Linked DNA regions of Mytilus edulis. The protein of the gene in region 1 purifies or fractionates together with the protein of each later gene. This does not show direct contact. Links are inferred from orthologs where the notes say so. Each region holds a gene or a part of one and is shown on either strand. Other genes may lie near its edges. The genes, in order: ATP-binding cassette sub-family E member 1-like and protein LTO1 homolog.

Evidence for each region.
Region 2: the proteins of ATP-binding cassette sub-family E member 1-like (region 1) and protein LTO1 homolog purify together in Homo sapiens (affinity purification with mass spectrometry; 4 studies listed by BioGRID and IntAct, with this or other methods). This does not show direct contact. The link is inferred for Mytilus edulis from reciprocal best matches to the Homo sapiens genes ABCE1 and LTO1.

Annotation. Positions count from the first base shown.
Region 1 is NC_092351.1:71,729,828-71,740,557, forward strand, and holds the start of ATP-binding cassette sub-family E member 1-like, read right to left. Parts: upstream 4,249-10,730; 5' UTR 4,148-4,248; exon of another isoform or gene 4,109-4,147; intron 1-4,108. Other genes in the region: uncharacterized protein, read right to left, coding at 8,952-10,304. UniProt on the Homo sapiens protein: Nucleoside-triphosphatase (NTPase) involved in ribosome recycling by mediating ribosome disassembly. Able to hydrolyze ATP, GTP, UTP and CTP. Splits ribosomes into free 60S subunits and tRNA- and mRNA-bound 40S subunits.
Region 2 is NC_092353.1:25,999,792-26,010,898, reverse strand, and holds the start of protein LTO1 homolog, read right to left. Parts: upstream 4,723-11,107; 5' UTR 4,633-4,722; coding exon 4,577-4,632; intron 1,429-4,576; coding exon 1,323-1,428; intron 1,110-1,322; coding exon 1,042-1,109; intron 1-1,041. Other genes in the region: small acidic protein-like, read left to right, coding at 4,904-4,984, 9,338-9,424, 9,862-9,922. UniProt on the Homo sapiens protein: The complex LTO1:YAE1 functions as a target specific adapter that probably recruits apo-ABCE1 to the cytosolic iron-sulfur protein assembly (CIA) complex machinery. May be required for biogenesis of the large ribosomal subunit and initiation of translation.

The DNA.
Region 1 (10,730 bases):
TAATTTTTTTTAATATATCTCAAGTTAGAGACTAGTATTATTTAACACCCACAATGGGCTGTAATATGACTGCGCAAATTTAAAAAAATTTTTTATTCCAACTTCCAAGGGAAAAAGTAAAATCACATAAATACTTAACTCAGAGGAAAATTAAAAAAACGGAAATTCACATATAACACCCACAATGGGTTGTAATTTGACTGCGCAAAATTTTACTTTCTTTTTATTCCAACTTCCAAGGGAAAAAGAAAAATCACAAAAATACTGAACTCAGAGGAAAATTCAAAACGGAAATTCCCTTATCGAATGGCAAAATCAAATGATAAAACACATCAAACGAATGGACAACAACCGTCAAATTCCTGACTTGGTACAGGCATTTTCAAATGTAGAAAGTGGTGGATTGAACCTGGTTTTATAGCGCTAAACCTCATACTTGTATGACAGTTGCATCAAAATCCGTTATTTTAATAACGATGCGTGAAAAAAACAGACATAATCAGTAAAATAGTCAAAATATCATTTTATGGTTTCAGCAAAATATTGCCAAGAGAAAATCCTTACATAAAAGGCAACAACTTTTACAGATTTGTTTTATTTATGAGTAAATCCCTTGCATTTTTCTTCATTTGCAGTCCTTAACCATTTATTTTTTTGGGGGGGGGGGGGGGGGGGCAAAAATGCACTGTTCATTTTTTTTTTGCATTCAAAATACAGTCAATCTGTAAATTTTCTTCTTCTTCTTCCAGGTAAGGAACTCCGAATTCGCATTTTGAATGAATGAGGTCCCGCGAAGTTTTTCTTTTTTCAATTTATATGGGGACAGAGTCCCCAATAACAGTAGAAAATTCAATAAAAAAAAAAATACGGGAAAATTTCCTGAATTTTTCATTGTACTATTGAACTCAAAATCGTTCAATTTTTTTTTTGTCGTGTTTTGAAATCCCGGACCTGCGCAGAAATGTACAATGTACTTCCTTTTTCCGGTCTCGTTTGTATGAAACTTTGAGTAAAATATATATTTATCAGTCTAGTATAAAATAGGAAGGAACGCGCAATACCAATTTCATTTTTAATATTCCTTGATATGAAAAAACGTTACCTGATGATAGCGTTTCTTTGTTTACATTGCATATGACGTCATAATTTAAATAACGTCACAACTAAATCCCTAACAACAGAACCAAAATCGGAAACGTTACGGTATTTCCGTTTCTTTTTTTTTAAACAAATATTTAAGTTACAAAAAATAATTCATACAGACTTCGTCCCCATTTAGGCAGCAACCATTTGATTTTCTGGGGGGGGCTATGGTTTTTTTTGGAAAAAAAAGTTTGTTTCCAGTTTTCGGAGAAAAAAATAATTTGTTTTTGATTCTGAGAAAAAAAAATTGTTTGTTTCCCCCTCAGCTGCCACTATATGTAATGCTAAAATTGAAAGAAAAAAATTGTTTTCGACTTGTTGCGAAAAAAATAGATTGTTTTTCGCCGCAGGCGAAAAAAAAAATTTGTCCAGAAAAAAAAACCATCTATCTATCTATCTATCTTCCCGTCAAGGAGTGGACTCATATTTGAGTGTATATACTCCAGCGTGAGTGAACAGCTAAAAACCTTCAAGTATGTACAGCTAAAAAGAGATCTGTATGTACAGTTAAAAACGGTGCTGTAATTTAGATGTGGAGTAGTGTCGACACGCTGACATCTTGGATGGCGTGTCGAAAGTGTTCCACAGACGGGGAAGCTCGGATATCTGGAGGTATGTTGTTCCAGGATATGATGGTGGCTGGGATGAATGAATATTTAAAGCAGTCCAGTCTGGTCCTTATCTGTCTGATGTTATTTGACACGGAACCACGGGTTCTGGTATCATGATGGCTGAGCAGGTGGTGAACAGGAACTTCTACAATATGGTTTATTATCTTGTAGAACATGATGACTCTGCTCCTAGCTCTCCTATGTTCCAGTGGTTCCCAACCTAGTTGCTGAGTCATTTTAGTCACACAACCTGGTTCCCTCGAGAAAAAGTCCCCCATTACGAATCTAGCAGCCTGGCGTTGTACGTTTTCCAGTTGTTGGATTTGTTGTTGCTGGTAGGGATCCCAGACAGCGCTGGCGTACTCGAGGACGGGTCTTACTAAAGTTGTGTAGGCTTGACTTTTTACTTCCTGAGGACAACATCTGAGGTTCCTTCGCAGGAATCCAACAGATCTGGAGGCTTTGGCTGTGGTCTGGTTAATGTGCTCACGCCAAGACAGGTCCTTGCTGATGTATAAGCCAAGGTATTTCCCGCCTGGGACGCTTTCAAGGGTATGGCCATGCAGATGGTAATCGCATATGGTGGGTTTGCGTTTCTTGCTGATATGGATGGTGGTGCATTTTTGCGGGTGGAACGCCATTTGCCAATCATTTTCCCATTTTTCTAATTTATCAAGGTCGTCTTGTAGCTTGGTGGAATCGCTAGTGGATCGAATAGGACGATATAACAGGCAGTCATCAGCAAACAATTTCACGCTCGAGTTAACCGATTCAGGGAGGTCATTGATGAAGACAAGAAAGAGCAGGGGTCCCATTACTGTACCTTGTGGTACACCAGAAACTACCTCTGCTTCGTCTGACATTGTTCCCTCCACTAGAACATGTTGTTTCCTACTGTTCAGGAAGCTCTCCACCCATTTGAGAGTATAGTCACTGACTCCATAGTATTGGAGCTTATGGAGAAGTCGCTTGTGTGGCACCTTATCAAAGGCTTTGGCAAAGTCTAATAGTATTGCGTCGATTTGTTGGCCATCTGATAGTCCATTTGCCAGTTCATGAATAGTGGCAATCAGCTGAGTCTCACATGAGCGTTTTGTGCGGAATCCATGTTGGGCTGGTGTTAAAATGGAGTGTTTTTCTAGGTGTTCCATTATCTTCGAGTGGAGTATGTGCTCCATCACTTTGGAGCAAATTGCTGTTAGAGACACAGGACGGTAATTTGCCGCAGTACTCTTGTCTCCTTTCTTGAAGAGGGGCACCACATGTGCCATGCGCCAGTCATCTGGAACTTGCCCAACATTAATTGAGAATTGAAAGATGTGTGCAAGAGCAGGCGCTAATTCTGATGATAACTCTTTAAGGAAGCGAGACGATATCGAGTCTGGTCCTGTTGCCTTGTGTGGGTTTAAATTTTTAAGAAGCTTGGCCACACCTGTGGTTCCGATGGTAATTGGTGCCATTTTGGGATAGGGACTAGGTCCCTTATCTGGCATTGTGTTTGTATCCTCCTCTGTGAAGACAGATTTAAATTGGTTGTTGAGGATATTAGCTTTTATCTTCGGGTCGTTGTGGATCAATCCGTCGGTGTTCCTAAGTGGAGCCACACCTGAGGCTTCCTGTTTCCCACTTTTCACGAAGGACCAAAACTTTTTGGGGTTCTGCTTCGCTTCCGGGCTAATGATGTCTTTAACATAATTGCTGTGAGCCTGTCTGATGTTGCGTTGACATTCTGCTTTAAGATGTTTATACCTGCGAACGTCTCTAGTGCTCTTAGTGGCATTTGCTTTTTTAAAAGCTCGGTCCTTGCGTCGTGCAAGTCGGCGTGTATCTGTGTTCATCCATGGATTTGTGTATCGTGAGCGAGTGAGTTTATGTGGGATGTGCTTGTCCATCAGAGTTAGGACTTTGTCCCGGAATGAAGTCCAACAAGTGTTCATGTTATGAGGTGGCTGTGAGACAAAGTCAGATACGAATAGGGTGACATCTGCCTTCAGAGATTGAAGGTTTGCTTTATCCCATAAGTAGATGACCATAGCCCCCCCCAGAAAATCAAATGGTTGCTGCCTTACAGGTAATGCCTGCCTCATATTTCTTTAGAAAGACGATGATAATCACTGGAAGTTGAACATAATTGCAACATTTGGATACTATCTGAAAATCTACCTCAACATGGATTAATTTTCTAATTACATGCATTATATTTGTGAAGACCCGACATATGGCAAATTGTGACAAAACTTCACAAGACAAAATTATCGAAAAGTACATCGAATATTGCCCAATTAAAAGTAAACAACAATCAATGCCATGATCATAGAATGATTTAAAAAATTGTTACGATTGTAAACTCATACAATGTCAGTAAAATTTGAGAAATACACAGTGGAGCCAACCGGCTTCTTCAGGGCTGGTAAATATGGCGGCCTCCTATTTCCACATGTTTCGCAATCATCAGCGTATCAGAGACGCTTTTATTGTTTGCTTGCATTTCGTTACTAAATTTGCATTTATATATAACTCTTTTATTCATATCTTTCATCTTTTATTAAAAAAGTAATAAAAAGGACGTTTAAGAATTTTGTTTGTTGTCTTGATAGTATATATTATTTTTCCAAGTATATTTATGAAAACGTAAGACTGATTCGGACAAAATTAGGATTTGAGGCTCACTAAAGGAAGTTTGTAAATTCTTAAGGCCAGCAAGAGGGCATTGTTCAACCTTTTTGGATATATGTGAGAACTCTCTGAATCAGAAGTTTACACCTTTTCCATTTAATCTGGAAAAAAATAAAATAGCTTGGTAAGACTATTTGACTTGAAGGGCTGATGCAGTTTGATAAACGGATACGGTAGAGTGGGGTGATCATCATTTTCGCCATATCTTTCCATGTTGTCTTCAGTTTATGTTCAGGTCTTTATGTTTTTGAAGTATACTGATATAACTTCAAATGCAAAATATTCTTAGCTTGAAAACGTGTTTGTTTTTAGTAAAATCATCTGAAAAGTTGGATTAAAGGGTGTTTGAAATTTTCTAATTTTTTGTCAAAGGGGGACACATATTCGCCGTTTTTACATATCTATTTAAAACCAAATAACTGCAGCTTTAAACAATATTTATAAAAAAAATTCATTATAGACGAATAGCAGACATTTGAAAGGTGTAAAAACTTAAATTTAGGGCAATCAGTCAAAGAATTACTAAGGAATGCTTCTTTGAAATGTTTTTTTTCATTCAGGAAATTGGCTGAAAATCGTTGTTCATTTTTCGGTCCTTTGCCGTAAGTGCCGAAATTTAGCCTCATTTTCAAAAATAATCATATTTGTTATAAAAATATAATTAAACGGCATATTTCTTCCATTTTAGCCATCCTTTGGAGTTTTTACACCTCAAAATCATAAAACGGCGAAATTGTGTCCACGGCGAATATGAGCGCCCCACTCTAACAGTCGGACTCGCCTCGTCTGTTAAATTGATAAACGTTATTTCTATGGTACATTCATTGTTCCTAAACATACACAGACTTTATTAGGGCCTTGCATTTCTTCAAGTTGAAAATGTTTTTGTGACATATAACTTTGTCTAAATTAATATGGGAACTAACTGTGCACCTATCTTTGTCATTACGCATACTCTAACAATTCTCCTTGAATGAAAAAAAAAACGAAACTGAACGCGTGGGGAAAAAATAAATTCTGTTAAATCAGAATCAGAATAATTTATTATAGTGTCACGTACCAATATATAACATAGTGAATACATAATAATTATTACATAAAAAAAAAAAAAATTACAATTAAAAATTAAATATTACAATTATAAATTATTGAAATTGTAATTGTAATAAGTTTGCATATAAGAAAGTCCTTTAGCATCAACAACATATGTAATATGAAATATAGTACTAAGCGAAATAATATAAATGAAAACAGAGAGCAAAATAATATAAATGAAAACAGAGAGCAAAATAATAATTAAGAAAAAAAAACCTATTAAACAAATAGTACCTTATAATCTACCTCATAATCTACTTTATCAATTGTGACCGTAGTTTCCAGTTTTCATTTAACAAACAACAAAGTTTTAATACAAAAGTTCTTGAACAAGTTTGAATAAGTGATAAACATTTTGGCATATTAAGACAACAACAAAAATAACATGAATAATAAGACAAAAGATCTTAGACGCAAATGGGTATAGCAAATCATTACAAAATGATATTCATCTTCAATGGTTTTCATATTGCAACATTGACAGTCTTTCAGTACGAGGCACGTTGTTATATCTTGCAGGTTCAATGTTGAAACATATCTTAGTTGTGTTAAGAGTCTAACATTGACATCAAGAACTAATATTTTCCCAAACAAAAGTCAATTTTAAATATTTTCAAAATATCCATTTTTTCACAATCCAACATACAAGAAGGCCATCTTTGTAAAAACTTATCATAGAGTTTCAAAACATCATATGAAAAAAATACACTTTCTTTAAGTTATAACCGCTATACCATAAAAAAAATTATAACCAAGATCATTTAAAAAAAGGTACGAACATTTGACGCCCAGTTTGTTTTATCATTCTCAGCATCATTAACTACCGTTTTATACATCAAATACAATAATTCTTGGTAACAAATTTCAACTAAGCATTCTTTGTTTTCCAATAATATGCATTAGCAAATAACCAAGTTCGCCGTTAAGAGCATATAAAGGTGAATTTTAACGAACTTCAAGTACAAATCTACAAAATTTGTTATGATCCAATTAAATGTCCAAGTTGGCATTATGAAACCCTCTATCACAGAACCTTAGCTCAAGATCGAACAAACAAGACTATCGACCATTTCATATTTCTGTTGAGTTGATATATACAGCATCAGTGGCGGATCCAGAACTTTTCCTAAGGGGAAGCCCTCTGACTGACCTAAGGGGGCCCGCTCAAGTCATGCTTCAGTGCTTCCCTATATAATCAATCAATTTTTTCCAAAGAAAGGGCACCCCCCCCCCCCCCCCTGGATCCGCCTATGAGCATCTTAAATGAGTTAAAGAGTGACGCAAGAGCACCAGCATTAGTAGTTAAAGCCAATCACAACAAAACTAATGTAAATAAATTATGATCTCCCAGAATAAAGCATCAATCAGTATACATCCAACAAATTAAATGTAAAGACGCCACAAACAGCAACAAACAGATTGAGGAAGACACGACCTTTATTGTGCAATGCAAAAGTATCAACAGGATTTCGGATCATGAGTTCTCATATTTAGTCGTATATACGTGCTATTATATATTTAGTTATATTTTGATCTTTCAAAAACAAAATCGATTTTAGTACTGATAAAAAAAAGCAATATTCAAAGATCTTTTTCTAAAGTGTTATTAAATTGATAACTTTTAAAACTGTGTTTATTCAAAGCATAAATTAGTTTACATGGATCGTTTCTAAATTTACGGGCTCTACAACATCACCGTTAAAATTAGAGTTTGGTGGTTCCATTTTATTTGTCAGGTAACAAAATCCCTGAAGTTTTATCAATCAGTTACCAGGTATGCAAAAATGACGTTCCTCTAAATCTAAAACGTGACCACAGACCGTGACAGCCTGGTATAGCGAACCAGTTGTGAAATATACACACTGCAGGAAGAGGCAATTTTTTAGGAACATCAATTCGTATAAAAAAGAGGGGAAATTTACAATATGAAACGAAAAATTGTGTTTTGTCGTAATTTTGTATAATTTGAAAATTTATATCATACACATAACTTAGTTGGATCTCTATATCGTGAGTTTGACAAAATCAGATAGCTGTGATGACAATACAGGAATGCAATTGATGTCCATGGATATATCTACAACCTGTCGACAATGGTCAACTTTTAATTTATTGCTGAAAGGTACACTGATATTGTCAAGGAGATTTTACACCGGCTTTATTCGTCTCACCAAAGCGACTGAATAAGTATCTGTAGGATAGTTTTCGTTTTTCATTAAAATATAAGGTTTGTATGATCGGGTTGAACCACATAAATCGGAAACCAGATTTATGAAAGGACCATGCATTTATTTGAATAAGAGACATTCGGTTAGATAAGACGTACAGATGTGTGTATAGTGTACAGAGTCGAAAAATCGAAAATGTCAACCGAATTTTACTAACATCAAAAATACCCAAATTCTACAAAACATCTAAAGATCTTCTTTATATTCTTCTTATTTAGGTACAGAAAACCATCAACATTTTGAAGATTAATTTCCAGCGCATATCAGTGCTTTATTACAAAACATAAAAAGTTTTTTAATAAAAGTAAGAAGAATACTTAAAAAAAAATCATAATTGTTCAAGGACATAACCTTGTCATCTGCCCTTATTGATAAATCAAGGACTTCAGAAGGGACTGGACTATCTTATCCATCGACCGTGAAAGGAGTAGGTCCGGTAAGGACCGATTTTGGCCTCAAATTTCAGGTTCATCTGACGAAAGATTTTGACCACTTTTTAAACACTTAAGTGTCTATTTATTTTGAATTAATTAGTTTATGTGAAAGATTTTAACAGATTTAGTCATTAAAAACGATCCGATTCATGCTCAAATATGAAAAATCTACATAATATGCCGAAAAATGTCACTTTTCAGATGGTTTTTGGTAAAAATGAAAGTGGCCGCATCCGTGTTCATCCTCAACCTTTATATATGTTAAGTATTATCATAAAATACAACTTACATTTCAATATTAAGGATGAACACGAATGCGGCCACTTTCGTTTTACACGAAAACCGTCTAAAATTTAACTAAAATGCTAGAATTATGAGGATTTCAGTAATTTAGCATGACTTAATGGTGCTAGTCCCTGATATATGTGCATTGTATTGTCAAAACCAGCCCACATTTATGTAGCAGAAGCATTCTACTGTCCAATCAATAACTAAAAGTTTACATTTTAACAATTTTCTAAAACTGCTATATTTTGGGGCCAAAAAGGGGTCATACTGAACCTACTCCTTTTCCTTTAAAGTTCAAAAATTTAATTTCGAAAATATAAATTATCCAGCAGTATTCAGTATTAAGAGAATTGAATGAATGAATTCTTTATTTGCAAAGCAGTAGTTACATGCTATAGCAACACAAACATATTTACATTGTGACACACAATAAACAACAGAGAACAATATAATAAGATATTACAATAGACAAATTATCAACTTATTAGATGTGATCTAATCTGCCAGGCAGATTTCAAATAATTACATAATTTTCCAACTAAAGATCTAGATTTTGTTTGATACAGATACATAAGTTTTGTCACATTTGGCCACGAACAGTAATAATTTGGTAAAAACTGCAGTCGTACATGCCTATACACAGGACACACTAACGTAAAATGGTACTCATCTTCAACACTTTTCATATTACAGCAAGTACATAATCTGTTTTCTCTTAGTATATTTGTATAACGCCCCACCTCAACATTTAACTTCATAGTACCACTACGTAGCTTTGTGAAAAAATGTGAATTATAGTTATAATCTACGTAATCTTCAAAACAAAAATCTAATTTTAAAATTCTGTACATAGTAAGTTTCTCACAATCCTGTATAGATGCAGACCAGCTTTGAATATATTGATCTTTTAACCTAGTTTTTATTACATCTAATGATATATTTATACCAGACTGCTGGTACCATACAAAGTTTAAACCAATACTAAACAATAGGTCACGAACATTAGAAACCCAATTAGTTTTACCAGTATTTGCATCTCTGAGTAACAATATATAAATATCATACACAATAAGTGGTTTATGAGTTACAATTTTTAACCAGTATTTTAAAACTTTTTGTTTTCTAATTACATTCATTGGCAAACGCCCTAGTTCGCCATATAAAAATACATTTGGCGTACTTTTACCCAGTTTCAAAATAGATCGACAAAAACGGTTATGGATAATTTCAACATCATTTCCACGATGGAAACCCCAAATTTCCGAAGCATAATTTATCACAGACGCAACCATACTATCGAACAAATCACATTTCTTTTTCTTCGTCAAGTATAAACCATTTGTAGAATTATTTAGAGCTGCCAAAGATCGTGAACCTTGTAAGGCTAATCGCTTCTGTGTTTTTAAAATTTTTCCATTACAGTGTATCAGCATACCAAGATATATATACGAATCGACAATTTCTAGTTCTTCGTTGTTGTAGAAAAATTTTGCAGTTACGGGTTGCCAGCCATTTTTGAATACAACAACTTTCGTTTTGTTAATATTCACTTCTATATTCCATTTATTACAATAAATAAGTAGTTTATCAAGTAGTTCCTGTAGAATTTCAGGAGATTTCCCAAATAATATAGTATCGTCTGCAAATAGTATTAAGTATATCAGAACTTCATTAATATTAACTATGTCAGCTGAAGGACTAATATTCATGTCTTCAATCAAGTCATTTATAGAAAATAAAAACAGTAGAGGTGATAAGGGCTCCCCTTGTTTTACACCAAGAAAATTTTCGAATGAATCGGACAGTAAATCGGCAGTTTTGACACGCATTTTTACAGATGAGTACACTGATCTAACTATTGTTACAAACTTTGAGCTAACACCACTCTGTAATAGTTTATAAATGAGAATCCTCCTGCTAATTTTGTCGAACGCTTTACGGAAATCCACAAACGAACAATAAAGTTTTTGTTTATTTTGAAGTGTATGCGAAATTATTCCAAATAAAATAAATATAGCGTCTACTATAGCGCCAATTTGGATTTAGACTTGCCGGGTCTAAATCCAAATTGGTTATCGATCTATATGTCTTCTTCTTCGGACCAACTGAGTAAACGATTTGTCAAAATAGTTGTATAAAGCTTCGATAAAACACTGATCAATACAATCGGACGATAATCATTAGGATCGGATAGATCACCACTCTTTGGGACAGCAACTACTAGACATTCTGACCATGAATCTGGGTATATTCCC
Region 2 (11,107 bases), on another chromosome or scaffold:
AACTTTTTGAGTTACGGCACTTTGTAACTAAAACAGGGGTGTGTTTTTTTCTTATGTCGCACCGTATCTCAAAAACGATTCTTGATTATGGCTTAAAACTTATTTATATTAATCTTAATATCTGTATACTTTTTGGTGATGATTCAAAATTTTATTTTTGAGTTATTGAGTATTTTGTAAAAAAGGGGGAGTGTTTTTTTACATGTCGCACCATATCTCATAAACGATTTATGATTATTGCTTAAAACTTTACACATGTCTTTGTTTAATTAATCTGAAGATCTGTATACTTTTTGGTGATGATTCAAAATTTCATTTTTGAGTTATTGAGTATTTTGTAAAAAAGGGGGAGGTTTTTTTTTTTACATGTTGTGCCTATCTCAAAAACAATTTATGATTATTGCTTAAAACTTTACACACTTCTTTGTTATATTAATCTAAAGATCTGTATACTTTTTGTTGATGATTCAAAACTTTATTTTGAAGTTATTGAGTATTTTGTTGAACAGGGGAGGTTTTTTTTTACATGTTGCGCCGTATCTCAAAAATAATTTATGATTATTGCTTAAAACTTTACACACTTCTTTGTTATATTAATCTAAAGATCTGAAAGATCTGTATACTTTTTGTTGATGATTCAAAACTTTATTTTGGAGTTATTGAGTATTTTGTTTGGAAAGGTGAGCTAAAACAATCTTTCTGAGAAGAAATTGTTAAAAATTGACTTTAAAGGGGTCAAACAAAAATTTTCGTAAAGTTGACTTATTAGTAGATTTTACTGCTTAATGATTATGGCGAAGTTTGTTTAAATTTGGCCAAGTAGTTTCAGAGGAGAAGATTTTTTTGTAAAAGTTAACCACACTGGACACCAGGTGATGACAAAAGCTCGCTTGGCCTTTTAAAAGGTGATTATTGAAATAAGCATGATAGAAACTACTAAAAGTGCTTTTTGATTGATACATGTACAATTATGTTTATATGAGGTACTTGATTTCATATGAATGTTTATACAAGGTATTTAGAAAGTTACAAGATACAAACCTCTGTTTGCTGTCATCATCCTGTATTTTAATTTGAAGTTCTTCAATGAAACCATGATAAAATCCAACCTACAAAAAACAAAGATATTGAAATGCTTATCCAAAACCTTTTACAACTAATAATGTCACATAACTGATATATATATGTTCCTTTATTTTCTTTTATCATTGATTCTAGATGCATTATTTATATATGTATAAAGTTAAATTTCAGTCATGTACAGATTGCATTTTACTTGATAACAACTTTTTAAAATTAAATAAAATATGACTTTTTTGTACCTCTGATGCAATAGAAGATCCCTTTTCCCAACCTAGTCTGTATCCTTCATCATATCCAGATTGTTTTCCTGCTTCAAATCCAGCTTCATAACCCTGCAACTGAGATCTGAAAACAAAATTTTGAAGTAAATCTTTAATGATGGACACACCACTTGTTTTTCTTGTTTCAATGACCAAATGTTTGTACATTTTAATACTGCCTAAATGAAAATGATTTAGTCCCATTGTGTCTTACTATTGATGACTTTTGAATTCATGCTCTTTCCTGTATACCTGTATCTTATTTTATGTCACAATGCTGATTTTATTACATCAGAGTAATCACCTATTGTTTGATTAAATTGTTTATTTAGATTGACTCTGGGTCAGCTAGTGTAACCTATCTATAGAAAACAACCCAAGATTGGTGTATTGAACTTCAACTGAGAGAACTATGCACAATGACCTCAAGTCCTGAAAAAGATCTGAGATTTTCCACATGACTGTCTTTTGAACAATTGGTAAAAGATGATAAAAGATATAGTTACTTGTATATAGTTCAAGGTTGTGTGATAAAAAAAACTTCTATGCCATTCTCATACTATTTTTTTTTTAAATTAAACAGATACACATTTTATGGATTAAATAAACAGATGAGTCAGGAGCAAAGGACATATCTTCTTTATAATTCAGCACTCCATGAAAGTATTGATGATAACATGCTGGGCATTGATTTTACTATGTCGCGCAGGATTTTACTGAGTCCAAATAATTATGACGTATTGGACTTTTTGCTTTGATGCCTTCATGCAATGTAAGGTGTCAAAGAAACAAAGTATAATAGCCTCATAATTATTTGGACTAGATTTTACTATGCTTGTCTTCTTCTTCTTTAGGTTTTCCGTAGTTTTTCATTATCTGAAGATTATATACTGTTTTGCACTGCGTGGCCTATATATATATTTACATAACCACAAAAATAATTGAAAATGAGTTTGGAGTGTGTAAAAATTAATTTTAAATTGTGATTAAAACTATGTACATTGGCAAATAATGAGTTGAATGAATTTGTGGAGAACAGTTAGCGTAAGTGTAAAGCAAAATTATATCCGGGTGGAATTTGATCCGGAGGAAAAAATGTCACAGTAGTTGTTGTTATTTTTTTTATCCGGAGGAAAATCTTTCCCTGGGATATTTTTGCCTTTGCCGTGAAATTCTATCTGGTTAGTTAACTTATTGAATAGTTATTAGAAAAAACTTATCCTATGAAATAATAATAGTGTATTTCAAATAAAAGGAAATTGTTAAAAAAAAGTATTATAATGGGAAATAATTTCACAAATTATCCTTGAAAAAATTTCCTGAAATATTCAAGTCAATATCATCCTTTTAAAAGGAAAATTATCATGAAACATAGGGAAGAAAACCAGATTTAATTTCAAAAATCATAATTGTGAAAATAATATCATGATTAAATAAGATTAGTGAAATACATGTACAAGTGAGTTGTTTTCAGATCTCAGTACAAATATAAATTTAAAAGTAAGGTAGAAATATAGTTGCATTACTAACGTTAGCAGTAATAGAAGAATTTGATTATGATGATATTTTTAACTATACAAATAGTTTTGTCTGGGGACAGAGATGTATTTGTTGATTATATGGAAATCAGACAAATCATAGCATAACAATGTATTGGAACAAAAGCATGTTTAACAGCTGGATATTTTTTACCTGTGAAATGTTTTCTGTCTTATTATATCAAGTTGTAAGTCATCTTTTTATATAAATGAATATATAAAAAATAAGATTAAAGGGAAAATTTTCGCTATAAAATAGATTCAGAAATATATATCTTAAAAATATAAATTGCTCATAATTACCTCCCTTTGATAAATTATGCAAATTTGGTCTACCTTTGTGAAACATTTTATAATTGTAGTCAGATATATAGATTGTGAGTAACTTACATAGTAGTTAATGGGACTCTATTTCACACGGTTCTATGAAATATAGAACGGCAAATATATACCGGTAAATACTATCCGCATAACACAGATAGATTTTCACTCCTCTGGAAAAAATCAACCTGTGAAATACCATGCCTGGAAAAAAATTACCGGGACAAATTATCCTCAGGATAAAATATCACAGAGGAAGAAATAAACCGTTAAAGCTGTTCTCTGAATGTGTCGACTGTGGTTACAGCAACTGTGTGGACTGGTAGTAAATTCCACTGAGTAATGGTGTACGGAAAAAATGAAAATCTATATTTATCTTTTTTGGAAGAAATGTGTCTGAAAGTGAAACTATGATTTTTGCGGGTTCTACTGTCTGATGGTATGAGGTTAGCAGATGGGATTGCTGCGATTTGATGTACTATTTTGTAGAACATTATCAATCTTGTGCGTAATCTTCTTTCCTGTAGTGTGGGCAGGTTTAGTGAGTTTATCATGTCTGTAAGACTGCTGATGTTATGGTACCTGTTACAGACATATCTAGCAGCTCATCTTTGGACCATCTCAATTTTAAAGGTTTGTTCAACTGCGTGAGGGTCCCATACAGAACATGAATATTTAAGCTTAGGACGAACTAGTGCCAGATATGCCTGGGTTTTGATGTTCTGGCATGATGTTTTTAAATTTCTTTTTAAGAAGCCCAAAGATTTGTTACCATTAGCTATGATGTTATCTGTATGTTTTAATAATAAATAATAATAAATAATAAATAAGCTTTATATAAGAGTCGGCAAGGTATACAAACATAGACAAACATAAGCTCTAATGAGCTTTTAACCGACATATGAGACATGTTTAACAAAACAACATTTATAAAAAAATTGACCATTTTAAGTTTGTTTGTAGTGTAATGCCCAGATATTTAGCTGAAGTGACTAGTTCAAAGTTTGTGATTGTGCAGGATATAGTCATGTTTAAACTGTTTTTTCTTTTGTGATACTGTAAGGACTGTGCACTTGTCTGGATGGAAAGCCATCAACCAGTCTTGATCTCACCTAGCGGCTGCATTTCGTCTAATGCATAGTAATTTTATTGGAAGAAAAAAAATATTGAATTATTGTAAAAGATGAAAGATGTTTCATCAGGTCAAAGGAAAAATAACTCAAGGACAGTCGAACTCCACAAAAGGCACAAATTATATCAACTGATCAATACAAAAGATTTTGAGTGTAGATAACATTTCTTGGATTTAATATGATTGTATGGCTTGAAATATGACAATATAAATTGAAAGAGTGCTCAATAGCGGGTAATTACTTTTCTTCACCCATTATGATATCATGAAATATATCATCTTCTGTATTGTTTGCCATTCTTAAATAATGAGAAATGTAAAACACCGTAAATCAAAGTGAAAGTGAAAGAAAAGATTATCTCCCTTTGACTTATATCATTGAAAAGTTTAGAACAAAAAAAGGGATCAGGAAAGTTTTAATGTTCAAACTGTTATAAATTTCCGTTCATAATGACTTTGTCTGTTGTTTAAAATAATTAGTTATTCATTCACTTACTTGTGAATGATCAATATTGAAATTAATTTCCGTTTTTTATTGATAGAAGGGGCAAGCATTTCTTCGAGAAAAAATGAGTGAAAAGGAAAAAACGACAGAGAAAACAGAAACAAAGGAAGAATCCAGCAAAAAAGCTGAAAAGGAGCCAGAAAATGTAATGAAACAGATGACTTAGTGTCTTTAAATAACATTTATACTTTAGTCTTCACTAAATAGCATTATCAGGCTTTGTTATACTTTGTAAAAAGAACAAATTATTGTTGCAAGACATGAGGGTCGAAACAGGGGTTCCATAAGCATAAAGCATAAAAGATTTATTTAAAGTCGGGTATGCATATACCAATACAACATAGCTATGTAGAGTTTTTGACTGCCATACATATATGTGATAAGCACAGCCACAAGATATAAAACAGTTAGCACATCATGCAAAGCATGCATACTGGTATCAAGTATAGATACTTTTATGATGAATAACGGTAAACAAAATCATGACAAATGACGTTAAACAGTTATTTTTTGTGCATAATGATAAAATGCACATTTTCTTTATGACGATAATACAATTGACTGATTTTGAAGCAGTTGTATTTGTATTGTCTTATCACAGGAATCAGAAATTCAATCAATAAAAGTCAGTAAATAATATGGGGACGAAGTCCCCAATAACAGTAGAAAATTCAATAAAAAAAAAAAAACAATCTGGAAAATTTTCCCCCAAATTTTTATTGTACTAATGAACTCAAAATCGTTCAATTTTTTTTATGGCATGTTTTGAATTCCTGCATCTGCGCAGAAATCTACAATGTACTTCCTTTTTCCGGTCTCGTTTGCAGGAAATTTTGAGTAAAATATATATTTATCAGTCTAGTATAAAATAGGGAGGAGCGCAATATCAATTTCATTTTTAATAATTCTTTACAGTGAGTTGACTGTTAGTGTTGCTCTTCACCAATTGCAACTCATTCAAAATTTTGACCAAATTGCAATTTGTTTTACAAATTCAAATTGTTCAACTGGTCAGAAATTTGAACCAACTGCTGTAGAAAACCACAGCCAAGTCATGAAAGTGCAAGGTGATAAAATAAAACATACTTACAATCCTATAAGACTTTAACTCCACTTTAATGATGTTGTGACAATGTAGTTTATCAGTTTGTATAGTTATATTATATTCATTTCCATGCTGAAGGGGAACTGTTTATTTGGAATTGCTATTAAATTGTCCAAACTAAGCTTTCATATAGTTTTTCTTTCTAAAAGTATTCTATATTTATAAGAATCAGATATCATTTTAAATAAAACATCATCAGTGCTCTAGCTAGAAATCAAAAGGGGCAGGGTGCCAGTGGAGGGCAGGGCACTTTTTATGATAAGAAAAGGCACTGCTCATTTTTTTGTCTACGTTTCTGTGTGTATCACGAGTTCACGATTCTCTTTTTTTTTTTTTACTGTATATGTTTTTTTTTTTTAAATAAAGATGCTTTTCAACTATAGTCTTTATTTCATTGTTTGTGTAGTTATGACTGATATAGTACATCTTCATCAACATATTATGTTTTTACAGTTCAACTTCACTCTACCCATTATCAAAGAATATGTGTTTTTTTTTTGTTTTTTTTTTTTTATCTATATAGGATTTATAGCTTTGAAAACATCATATGATCTGAAACAGAGAGCATTACTAATTTAACAATGTTTAGAACATGGATTGCTAAAAGTATAATTATCAAGTAGAAATTGCAATATATATTTTTTGATATGTTCAAAGACAGTTAATATCTTTAAGGTAACATTATTATGTTATTATATATTCAATTGGTAATTTATTCCTTTTTTTGGTACTAGATAATATTTTTAGAGCACAAATTTGTAATAAGCTAAAACAGGGGAAGTAACTCCAAAATCAATTTCCACCACGTTTGGGTTAATTAAAAACTGTGCTTGTCGCTAACAAGTTGAGATGGAAGGCATTTCTGTAAAGGCATAGTTTTATTTTGATGACTTAAATTCAATTCTAAAGTCATGAAAGTCTTCATTTATATACGCTCTTCCATTGTGACTTGGAGATCGAAAATGCAGACCCAAGCTTAAAACACACTCGCTGACACATTCATCATTACGGGATACAAGGGGAATTAAATTACTGGATACAAAATTTTCTTAGCAATCGCAAACAGGCAGTAGTTCTAGAGGGGGAAAAATCTGAGTATGTTGCAGTTGAGTCAGGGGTTCCACAGGGGTCAGTTCTTGGACCAAGTCTCTTCTTGTACTATATAAATGACATTCCAACTGGTCTAACATCTACAGTACGTTTATTTGCAGACGACACAATAGTTTATTTGGCAATAAAATCAAACTCCGATGCATTAACATTACAAAAAGATCTAAACAAACTGGCATCGTGGGAAACTACTTGGAAAATGGCATTCCACCCAGATAAGTGTAATGTAATTTCAGTCACCAGAAATAAAAAACCAATCACATTTAACTACACATTACACAATCATTCATTAGAACATGTAACAACAGCAAAATATCTGGGGGTCACCATCAGTTCCAACCTTAAATGGGATGTGCATATTAACAACATATGCAAGAAAGCTAATAGCACACTAGGCTTTCTAAGGAGGAACCTGAACATAAGTTCAACATCCATTAAAGAGCAAGCATATAAGTCCCTAGTAAGACCATCACTAGAGTATGCTTGCTCTGTTTGGGATCCATACTTACAACAAGACATAGATAGCATTGAAAAAGTTCAAAGGAGGGCTGCACGTTTTGTTACCAACAAATACAGAAACACCTCAAGCGTTGGTAACATGTTACAACATCTTGAATGGCGCAGTCTCTCTGACAGAAGAAAAGACTCCAGATTGGTAATGCTTTTCAAAATTGAACACGAAAAGGTTGCAATTCCTAAAAATAATAAATTAATTCCTCAAAAAAGACAAACAAGACATTCTAATTCGAACAGCTTCCAAATTCCATCCTGCAAAACACAGTACAGAAAAGAATCATATTTTCCAAGAACTATTACCGACTGGAACAAACTACCAGATAACATTGTAAATTGCACTTCAGTAGACTCTTTTAAATCTTCAATCTCAAAGCATCAATATTAATTACAACATCTTACTTTATTATACAAAACATTTTATATTTTTTAATTTTTCATATTTTTTTTTTTTTTTTTTTTTTTTTAAACTTGTACATTTTTCAATCTATGTCTTGTTGTAAGTTTCCTCCTGTGACATAATCTTCAATTTGTTGAAGGCTGTCACTATATGGTAGAAGTAGAAGTAGAAGTATGACAAAAAGATACATTGTCCTAATTAAATTACCTAGTTATTAACACCTTTGAAGTCTTTATCATTGTAATTGATTGTAATGACATGATTAACATGGGGGCAATCACACAGGTGTCATATATGTAATTAACTTGGAGATCAGAAATCGATGAAACAAAATTTTACCAAAACGGCACCAGATAATTTTGGAAAAAGACGTCAGGGCAGAAGGGCGCGGATGAAGGCACCCAGGGCGCAGCTGAGGGCACCCAGGGCGCGGCGCCCTTCTATTTTGGGCTAGCGAGACCACTGATCATATATTCAGTAAAATAACAATATGCTATTGATAAGTTTTCAGGGGAGATAACCTAAAATATTATTCTTTTGAATAAAGACTTTTTGAAAGAAAAGTTATTATCTCCCCCATGGAAACTTCCTACAAACATATATTGCAATTTTACACATATTTTACTGAATATGTGATGTTTTAATTCACATAATGTCTGATTCTTATAAATAAGAGGAACTGTTTATTTTGAATTGCTATAAAATTGTCCAAACTAAGCTTTCATATAGTTTTTCTTTCTAAAAGTATTCTATATTTATAACAATCAGGCCCAGGCCCCCTGCCCCCCCCCCCCCCCCCCCCCCCTAAATCTGCCTCTCTGATTTTTAAACCTGAACACAAAGATAACCTCTTCAGACATAGAAAATAACAAAGTCTGATACCTGGACTGTTAACACATATATATATAGAAAATATTGTTCATTAATTTTAATCATCTTTACTATCATACTATACATACAGTATTCCTTCGAAAATTTCACAATTAATTTCAATCAGGAACTACAAACAATAGATTCCTGAAAATTGTTATCAGGCTTCATGTCAGCATGTTTTACTTTGAGACATGGTTTAAGATTCATCAGTCAACAGTCTCTAGAATTTAGAATATTTTAATATATGCTCTTAACGTCTTAATGGCCTTATATTTGAAAACATCATTAGATTTATCTATGAAACTGAACCTCACATAATTTGCTATCTGCATTTTTCATATGCACATGCTAGACTAAGTAATTTGTTTTCAGATTCATTTTTCTTCAGCTTCCTGTTAGCCAAATACTTAAAGCAGGGTAAGTATTAGTGAGTAATAGCTTGTGAGTTTAACCTGCTTTAATTGTGAATGTTAACTTATGCACATATATATTTTAAGGTTCACTCTGCCAACAAGTGGGAAGAAGTAGATTTGGGAGATACTAACAGGAAGAATAAATTCCTTCGTTTGATGGGTGCTGCAAAGGTACAGATGTTTATGTTAATTGTACATTAAGGATCTATAAATATCAAAATGGTAGTGTCATATCACGTTTTCACAATTTGTTTTCATCACATGTCTACTCAACACGCAAAATGAGCTTTTGTAATAAATTAATTACAATCCAAATTCAGACCTGTATCAAGTGAGAATATTGTGTCCAATTTTGCCCCGACTGTTGGACCTCTGTGGTCAAATCCAGCTGTGCTTAGTGAAGCAATTTATATGTATATAAACAAGTCTTAATTGAAAACAACGTTCAAACCTATAATTGCATTAGATAAAAACCTTAATTTTTATATGTGTGCATGTAAAACAAATTTTGTTGTAGAGGGGTCTCAATACAGCACAAACAACATTTTCAAAAAGACCCAAAAAGTGAAAAATTATATTTTAACAAAGTGCATTTGATATATTTTCAGAAAGAACACCATGGACAATTTGTTATTGGTGAGGAGAAAATGCATCAACATGAAAGGGAAAGTATGTACATGTTGCAAAGTTCTGCATTTTTTATGCCAGTCAACATATTAACCTGAATTAAATGGCAAAAATTAAAAAAAAACAAAAAACAAAGTTTCAAAATTTAATAAAAGTATTGAATTCGTTCCAAGTTTGTATTTCAAGATTATTTTTTTACCCATAAGACTGCAACCGAGCACACATACAAACTAAAAGGAAATCTACAGGTTAACATTTGGTCTTCAACAAGCTGGCTAATTTTGTCTAATATGATATGTCAAGGTGTTATCACCTGGAATCAAGACATGTCAAAGATTTAATGTAACAAAGACTAACAGAGATTGACTAAACTAATGAGTAAAAAGATATTGCAAGGGAATTCAACATCATGGTCCTTGGTTCATTAAAAGGAACTTATGCATATTACTGAAGACATCAAGATGATTTTTAGCTCACCTGGCCCGAAGGGCCAAGTGAGCTTTTCTCATCACTTGGCGTCCGGCGTCCGGCATCGTCCGGCGTCGTCCTGCGTCCGTCGTCGTTAACTTTTACAAAAATCTTCTCCTCTGAAACTGCTGGGCCAAATTTAACCAAACATGGCCAAAATCATTATTAGGGTATCTAGTTTAAAAATTGTGTCCGGTGACCCGCCCAACCAACCAAGATGGCCGCCATGGCTAAAAATAGAACATAGGGTTAAAATGCAGTTTTGGGCTTATAACTCAAAAACCAAAGCATTTAGAGCAAATCTGACATGGGGCAAAATTGTTTATCAGGTCAAGATCTATCTGCCCTGAAATTGTCAGATGAATCGGACAACCCGTTGTTGGGTTGCTGCCCCTGAATTGGTAATTTTGAGAAAATTTTGATGTTTTTGGTTATTATCTTGAATATTATTATAGATAGAGATAAACTGTAAACAGCAAAAATGTTCAGCAAAGTAAGATCTACAAATAAGTCAACATGACCAAAATGGTCTGTTGACCCCTTTAGAAGTTATTGCCCTTTATAGTCAATTTTTAACCATTTTTCGTAAATCTTAATTATCTTTTACAAAAATCTTCTCCTCTGAAACTACTGGACCAAATTAAACCAAACTTGGCCACAATCATCATTCGGGTATCTAGTTTACAAATTGTGTCCGGTGATCCGGCCAACCAACCAAGATGGCCGCCATGGCTAAAAATAGAACATAGGGGTAAAATG